2 linked regions of the Arabidopsis thaliana genome follow. The protein of the gene in region 1 interacts with the protein of each later gene in a pairwise test. Each region holds a gene or a part of one and is shown on either strand. Other genes may lie near its edges.

The links.
Region 2: the proteins of HSP18.2 (region 1) and AT5G66240 interact in a two-hybrid assay, tested with the Arabidopsis thaliana proteins (one large-scale study listed by BioGRID).

What each region holds. Positions count from the first base shown.
Region 1 is NC_003076.8:24,060,294-24,063,986, reverse strand, and holds HSP18.2 (heat shock protein 18.2), read right to left. Parts: upstream 1,665-3,693; 5' UTR 1,356-1,664; coding exon 870-1,355; 3' UTR 687-869; downstream 1-686. Other genes in the region: VIP2 (VIRE2 interacting protein 2), read right to left, coding at 2,251-2,310, 2,401-2,539, 2,629-2,670, 2,768-2,820, 2,909-3,319, 3,471-3,551, 3,654-3,693.
Region 2 is NC_003076.8:26,464,383-26,469,217, reverse strand, and holds AT5G66240 (Transducin/WD40 repeat-like superfamily protein), read right to left. Parts: upstream 3,045-4,835; 5' UTR 2,951-3,044; coding exon of another isoform or gene 2,944-2,950; 5' UTR 2,871-2,943; coding exon 2,775-2,870; intron 2,689-2,774; coding exon 2,588-2,688; intron 2,499-2,587; coding exon 2,398-2,498; intron 2,319-2,397; coding exon 2,252-2,318; intron 2,166-2,251; coding exon 2,066-2,165; intron 1,989-2,065; coding exon 1,875-1,988; intron 1,740-1,874; coding exon 1,602-1,739; intron 1,495-1,601; coding exon 1,410-1,494; intron 1,312-1,409; coding exon 1,262-1,311; intron 1,161-1,261; coding exon 1,017-1,160; 3' UTR 734-1,016; downstream 1-733. Other genes in the region: AT5G66250 (kinectin-like protein), read right to left, coding at 1-168.

The DNA.
Region 1 (3,693 bases):
ATATATGTTGAATTATTGAGCTCTTCTTTTCTTAAAAGCAAATCATTCGATTACTTTTGGAACTTTGTGATTTTATCAACGACAAAAGAAAGTACAAAGATTATTGAGCAAATAGACAATTAGACATATACGTAAAAGACAATCATAAGTAGCTCTCACTCGTGAATCTTTTGACTAACTGTAATTTTTTTGGTGGTATATAACTTCATGTTGGTACGAGTCCACATTCCACAATACAATAAAAATAAAAGTAAAAAACAAATTGCAAATGCAAATTGCTTATGAAATAAATACGAAGCTGACATTATTAGTACATAGACTACCAAAAAATTCTAAGAAACAGAAAGGTCGACACGATAGGAGGGTCGGTGAATCTAATCAGGTTCGCATTAATGCTTTAATTAGGCGATTCCCGATACGTAGTCTCACGTTACAATTAGTACTAAAATAAACGTAAACCGAACTTAATCTCCTCATTATGTGCCATGTTTTAAATCATTTGTTTTGCGGTTATTACGCTTACTTTTTTCTACATCTTTATTTTATAAAATAGATCATGAAATAGCATGATGAAGGGAGGTTTATAGGTCCCTCGCCTCGTTTTACTCTATGAGCCCATCTTATCTTTAATCATATTCCATAGTCCATACCATAGCACATACAGTAGTTATATGCTGCAGAAGAGATCCAACAAAACATTCACAATGGATTATAGAAACATTTGTTTATTCATTATAATGAGATCTTACATTCATTTAATATTAGAAAAAGCCACAAATTCATAACACAACAAGCCAAGAAAAAAACACAAACTTAAGCACACAAGCTTTTTATTTGACACACCAAATATTTCATCTTCATCTTCATATTCAATTAGCCCCGGAGATATCGATGGACTTGACTTGAGGCTTCTTCTCAGGCGCTTTCGGAACCACAACCGTAAGCACACCATTCTCCATTGTTGCCTTCACTTCTTCCATCTTTGCATTCTCCGGTAACCTAAACCTTCTCATAAACTTCCCACTAGCTCTCTCCACACGGTGCCACTTATCGTTCTTCTCTTCGTTCTCCTTGCTCCTCTCTCCGCTAATCTGCAGAACGTTCTTGTCTTCAACCTCAACCTTGACTTCTTCCTTCTTCAGGCCTGGCAAGTCCGCTTTGAACACATGTGCCTCCGGCGTTTCCTTCCAATCCACTCTTGCGTTTGTAAACGCTGCCACATCACGAGCGGTTGAAGCGTTTGCCAACGCAGAAGATGGCGTGAAGAATCCTTCGAATGGATCCCATAAGTCTTGCGAGAACGGATCAAAGACGTTTGATCTGCGTCCTCCAAAAATGCTTGGAATGAGAGACATTGTTCGTTGCTTTTCGGGAGACTTTTGGTTCTTGATTTTCCTGCTGATTTGATCTGATTAGCAAAGGACATATTTATAGGGAAGTTAGAGGATGAAGAGAGAATGTTCTTCGAGTTTCTTGAATAGAATAGAAAATGCTCCTTTTTCTAAAACCTTCGCTTGGAGTCTTTAGAACACATACACAATGATCACTGTGGTGAAATGACCAGATTTTTCTTGGCATTTCAGGAAGTTTCGTTTGTTGAAACAAGACCGAAATGCAATCCTTGGTTACAATTAAAACTACGTGCCGTTTTGCTTTGTTGTTGTATTATCCTCTTCGAGATACGGGCTCAGTGAAGCGGATCTTCTTTGCAAAAGCCCATTTCTTAATAGGTCGGAAGTGGAATTTAAGAAAATCTAACTCAGAGAAAAGAGGACAAAATCAAGATTTAAGATTATTAGCTTTTCGCCAAAGGAAAACTATAGTAAGTTCTCGCAATAACAGTTGGCACTAAATTTCCGAGAATGTCAACAATCTTTTAATGGATTTTTTTGTCTCCATATATACAAGAACTGAGCCACGTTTTTGTGACAAACATAGACAACATATTTACTAAACAAGTAAACTAAAAAAAAAAAAAATCTAAATGATTCGATTCAAGTATCAGTTACTGTGATCAAAATCTCAACTTATTTATTGCCTGTTCATGTCATGCTTGAACCAGAAGAAATGACCATGGAAAGTAATTGTGATTACCTTTTTGGGAAACTTGGGGTTAAAAATTGAAAATGTGATATGTCATGGTTTTGGTTTCTAATCAATAGAACTTGCATGAAAGAAAGAAAGAAAGAGAAATGAAGAGAAAAGCTTTACATTGTAAAGATGCTACTAATTGAACAAACCTACTTGTCGTCAAAGCTGCAGCAAGCTTGGTCTCTTTTCCATAAGCTCGTACTTGATAACAAAATGTTCCTGCGATAACCATCACCAGCAAAATTCACTCATAACACTGCAAATTCGAGAACAAGGAAATAGATATTCCTGCAATAATCGTCGGCTTACCTTTCTCACTGTTTTGAACGAATTTGGATCAAGGTATTCGTATGTTCCTCTTTCATATGTAGCTGCCCTGACTAAAGGTTCCCCGACTCTGAAGAACCATACTCTGAGTTCCTTGTGGTAAAACCAACCTCTTTCGTAACTGCAACATGTCAATCGAACTCAAAAGTCTCAGCCAAAGAGAGCGGAGTAAACGAATAGATCAAAGATTACAGTAGAGAAAAAACATACAGTTCATCTGCTGCGTACAGCTGTGCTTCATCTTTTGGCATACTGGAACAATAATTAGAGCAAAGTAATAAGTTTAAAAGCCCAAGGTTAATTTAGGAGTTGGGCAAATGTGACGCTGAATGCTGATCTAATAACAGACCTGTAAAATGTGTAGAACAATAACTCGTAGGAGAACCTTTTGAAACTAGCTCGCTGCAACAAACGGAAATAATGACACATTTGTTAACAAAATCGAGAAAATACTTTGTTGGTACTACTCGCAACAACAGAGGGAACTTACAGTTAGAGGCGGAGGTTCTGTGGCGTAGTAACAATTTGGTACTGTGAACTCGACCTCGCTCTTTGCCGGTTCATTTGTCCAAGGAGACGCAAATGTCTTGTAGAGATTTCCAGTTGAATTCAAATCCAATCCTAGCGTCGTCAAGTCGATGCCAAGAGCAAGTGAGGTCAATTCAGGGTTGCTCCTGTTTAGTACGTCTAACAAGCCAAGCAAGCAAAAAGGATCTGCCTCTGACTGTGTCGATTTCATCTCAGAATCTCTAAATTGGTTGATTGATGACATCTGTTGCACAGGGAACTGGGATTGATTTTGATGTTGCTGATACTGCTGAATAAGCTGATCATAACCAATACTGGAAACTGCATTAGGCGAGCTTAGAGGTCTAAGGCCAAGACCCTGTAGCCCACCAGTCTGGTATTAAATAAGAATTAAATGATAAGATACGGTAGTTGGAGCAAGTGTGGCCCAACCACATGATGCAGTACCATAATAATATGAGATATGCAAATTGAAGAAAGTTCCGGCTTGTATACATATAGGGATAGGAGAGACTGCCACTCACAGATGAAGTATGTTGTGGCTGTTGTTGTGGACGATGTGATGAATATGTTGCTCCCAAGTTGAAACCACCAGATCTACCCATCTGCAAATTTGCAATATCCAAACATTAATTCACATCAACAACCATATCAACAGAAAAAGGCAGGACAACACTTTGTTAACTTCGAAACAGTCTAAAGCTTACAGAAAAGTTTTGAGAGTGCATCATTGACATAGCATTGTCA
Region 2 (4,835 bases), 2.4 Mb from region 1:
ATCCTTGGAAACTAGAGCAGAATCCTCAGCAGCTATGAATCTATCCTTCAGAACACTGATGTTGGAGGAGCGGCTCTTTTCCATCGCTCCTCGGATCCAGATGTCATGATGATCCTCAGTGATCTTAGATTCTAAAGTTGAGGCAGAAACCACTTCCTTTTCAGCCATACTATCCTAAACAAAATAGTATCGCAGAAACGAAACTCGATGAAAAGGCTAACAAGCAACAAAGAAGAATGCAACTTATTAATTTGGTAATTGAGCTACAAAGAACATCCAAGTTTTGATAATTTGGTGGAGTATTGAGCAACAAAGAACACCAAGTTTGATAATTTGGTGGAGTATTGAGCAGATTCGATATTCCAAAGTCAAACAAGAAAAAGCCTTGACGATTCAATAAGCGATGGACTCAGAGAAAATCCTAAACGGATCAATCGCAAACAACCAAGAACGTAATCAGAATCATAAACGCGCGGTACGGGAAAAGAGGATATCAAATGACAAACCCAGAGGGATCAACTTTGCCCGTAGATTTCGGGAGGCTAAACGCAATCAGGTCCCGGCCGATCAACCGATGGGAACGAAGTCGGGTCGGGTTGACTTGGCGACAGAAACGGGTCGTTTGCTTGAGGATTAACACAACAAGACGCCAAGGAGAATAAATTTAGTTTGGCATAAAGTTTCCCTAAACCAACTTTCTTAACTGCTATAAATTAGTTAGAGTTTGGACCTTATTGGGCTTTTACTTAAATATTGTGCCGGCCCACCATTTTAACTTCGACCCAAGCTCTCAGTCAGATCGATTGCTTCCCGGAAGAATCAGTCAGAAACAGTCAAACTTGTAAATTACACGAATTACAACATTAGAAAGACTTGGGGTTTATCTTCATGTTACAAGACCCAAATATATATTAATCAGAGTGCAAGGGATAAGTTACCGGCATAACCCACAACAAAGTCTGAAACCAAAAGGCCAAATGAGGCCTCATTTACATGGCACAGACGTGATAGTCGTCCTATTTCCGAATGGCATAAGCTGGCAATTTCGATAAGTCGGGTATAACAAAAGCAAGTTCGGAAGAGCCTGTCACAAACATGGGACTTCCTGGACCCCATTTAATGACTGGGGGCTCACTCCCTAAACCCATCCAACTATGTACCTACACATACAATAATCCAATCAACACTCAAAACTATACAAAAGCAAAGTTTCCAGTGACAAACTATGTACACCAAACTATGGCTGTATTGCTAGTCCAACCTGTTTTCCGCTCCTTACACCCCATGCATGGGTACTACCATCACCTGAACCTACCAAACCATGACAAAAACAGAACAAGTTATTTCACATGAAGGAAGTGTGTGAGTGTGTGCATGCATCATCCGAATCAGGTAAAACTCAAGGTTACCTGAAACAACAAACATCCCTTCAGGACTAAAGGCTGCATCCAATGTAGATTCTCCAGCTACTGGTTTCACACTAAATGTGGACAGCTGCAATGTACCACAAAAGAGTTACATAAACCAGTTTATTTATTGGTCATGTGTGTGTAAATGAAAAAACCATAACTAGCGAAGAGCAAGGGAGGCTGAAGGCATACAAGAGTTCCACGAAACGAGTCAAGCACATGAATAAAACCATCCATGGTTGTAAGCAGCATGAGCCTTCCATCATTACTAAATTTCACAACGTTTGCCTCAGAAAGATCACCACCAACGGAAAATATTTCAAAAGGACCCTATAAAAGCAACTTATCCAAATCAGAAAAAGATAAACGTTCAATGTAAATAAGAAAATGTGAATACAGCACAGGTGGTCCATCAAGCTGCTAGAGACATAACAGGATCATTGGTAGCTTTTGTCAAGAACAAACCTTTTCGTACATACGGGCATCAAACATTCTTATGTAGCCACCAAAGGCAATTGCAAAAATTAACCCTTGATCATCATATGCTGCAGCAGGCCTTCCTTGGACTCGTAAGAGACCCTGTGGTTAACCCAAATGGTCAATTTTATTAGATGTAAGACCTCCATAAGCACCTAGGGTAGAGAAAGGTAATCTACCTGGCATTTCTCGACCCTTTGATCCCAAAGCAAAACAGTACGATCAAGGGAACCGGAGATGAAGCATTCCCCACCAGAACACAAGCTAAGCGAAACAACTCTGTGTACAGCATAAATTGGTTAAGTTCATCCGGTTTGTGAAGGAAAACATAAGCTGATCAAACAAGAATCAGAAAAGAAACAAACCTGTCATGATGTCCTTTGAAGTAGCGCAAGTACTTATTATCGTGCAAAGAGAGAAGCCTCAGAGAGTCTAACCAACCAGATATAAAAGTTAGTTAAAGCAAATCAGATAATGAGGAAAAGCAATGTGCACATGAATTTGGGCTCACCGTCCCATCCGTTTCTGGAAGAGTAGATGACAGTAGTAGGATGAGAAGTGAAGCAAACAAGATCAACACCATACTTTTTGCTATTAATTGTCTTCAGACATCTGAAACAAGAAAACAGAAAACACTGAAAATATAGTTGGAATGTCTTATAGAGCAATACTCAAGACAGAGTTTGGGGTTTGGAACTCACGTGGCGCTGGCAACATCATAGAGACGAATTGAGTCATCGTCGCTAGCTGTCACCATACAAGTCGAAGTTTTGTGAAAGTCAATTGAGCTGATCCTGCAATTCTGAAAAGAAAAGCTCCATCCTTTAAAATCCCATTATAATAACAGGAACAAAAGAAGAAAGCTTCGAGAAGGGAAGGAAAAATTACATAGTCTCTGAAAACGGCGCCAGGTTCCATGCTCTGTATAATTTCTTCGCTGAGTTCCAAAGAAACTCGGTCCTCTCTCTCTGTAAATTCCACCATTGGACAATGAAATTGTTAAGACTTCACGTTACACCGCCGAGAATTGAAATCTCGTGTCATCAATAACACTCACCAACCATCTCTCCGACGCGTAAACCAATATCGCCGGTGATGTATAGAAGCCCTAACAAGGGCTTCGACTTTAGGGATCGACGTCTTCCACCGCCTTAACTGATGCCAACGATTTTCTATGTGGGCCAACTTTTTGAGTATGGGCTTTTAAATATGGGCCCAAATGATGCGCTTCTCCATTCCAACATGGCAACATCCAGCAAAGCCGTGGATCGTTGACTTTACCATCAACTGGTTACAAACTTATTACAATTGAACATGATAACCAATATTTACAACTACCACTATACCAAATTTGAAGTTACACGATGCATATTATATTGGTAACTAATACAGTAACATACATTCATTCTTCTTTTAGTAATCGTTTTTACGGTACAGGATACTATAAAAAGGTTGGTCGTAAATTTGTAATGATTTGTTTTGATGTCAACTTATGAAGACTGAAGAGTAACTTAAGAAAATGATTAATACTAATATATAATCCCAAAAATATTAAGCAAGGCGTATACACGTAGGGTAGCTTTTATTCCACCAATTTATAATTTGCTAATCAAACAAGAGGTGACAATGAAGAATATAAGAAGTGAGGGTGTTAGGGGACGTTTTCCTGGTGGATGATGGCCTTCTTGGTTCTGATAAACTCGATACAGTCAGCCACGGCTTCGCTGTGATAAGTATCAGTGGGGTTGTAGTACTTTTGGATTGGCGTCTGTCTGTTATGACGGCGAGATGTGGACTTGGAGACAGCAGATATCATGATGAGGCGGAGAACAGCTTCGCGAAAACGGTCCAGGAGATTCAGATCACTAGTCTCCCGATTACCAGTGGCTCTGGAGTTGGTTTTTACACGGGGGACACATCCGGCGCCAGAGTTCTTGGTCTTCATCTACAAGCTGCTCTGATGATTAAGTGTTTCCTTCCTCTTCAGCTGTCGCATGTGGGGGTTTTATTTATACACGAGAATCTAATTATGATCCAAGGGAGGCGCAGTTTTATTGTCAAATAGTCTTGTCTTTTGCATATTTTATTAGTACAATCTCTAAGTGATGAGACTTTCAAGTTCCAATATCAAAGATATAAAATCCTTTTAAGGCTGGTCAAGTTTAAGTTTTGGTGAATGGTACATTTAATGTGTGTGTTTATAACATGGTCGGGACATTTTAAGGGCATCTCCATCCATGAGAAACCCACAAAGTTTCTCAACAAAATAAATATTAATATTATATTATAATTTGATTATTTGATTAAAAAAGTATTTTTGTTAAAAAATTGAACCAATAGTAAGATGAGAATTGTCATGATGGGTTGTACAGAGTATCTCAGAGTTTCTCAAGTGAGAAACTTTATACACTCTCTCTCCTTCATTTTCATTATTTTTATTTTTTTAATTGTGAGAAACTCTTATGAGATACTCCCAATGGAGATGGTCTCATTCGCATGCAAATAGCCCATTTAAAGCATTTTTATTTGTTAGGTGGCTCATTTTTCCAGAAAATAAAACAGTCACAAAAACATATACAAGTAGATATATGCATACTTGATACTTATATAGAATGGGCAAGGGAAGAGTTGTGTCTATGAAAGGATTTACAAGATGGGGCAGAGTTAAAGGACTTGTCCTAAGGATTTGTTGCATACTTAATGAATAGAGAATGCGGGTCAGTCTTTACTGACCTCGTTTGATGATTTTCACATGGTCACATGTGCAAGAATTCACCAATATAATCTCACATAACTTTTAGCGAGCATCTGTATATACACAATTAAACCTTATTTATACATTTCATTGCCTTGTTACAACATTTGAGCCGACTCACCGGCCAATACCAAAATTGAAAGAGATGCATAATAGTATAATGGATATGATCACCCTAGATATAGACAAATTTG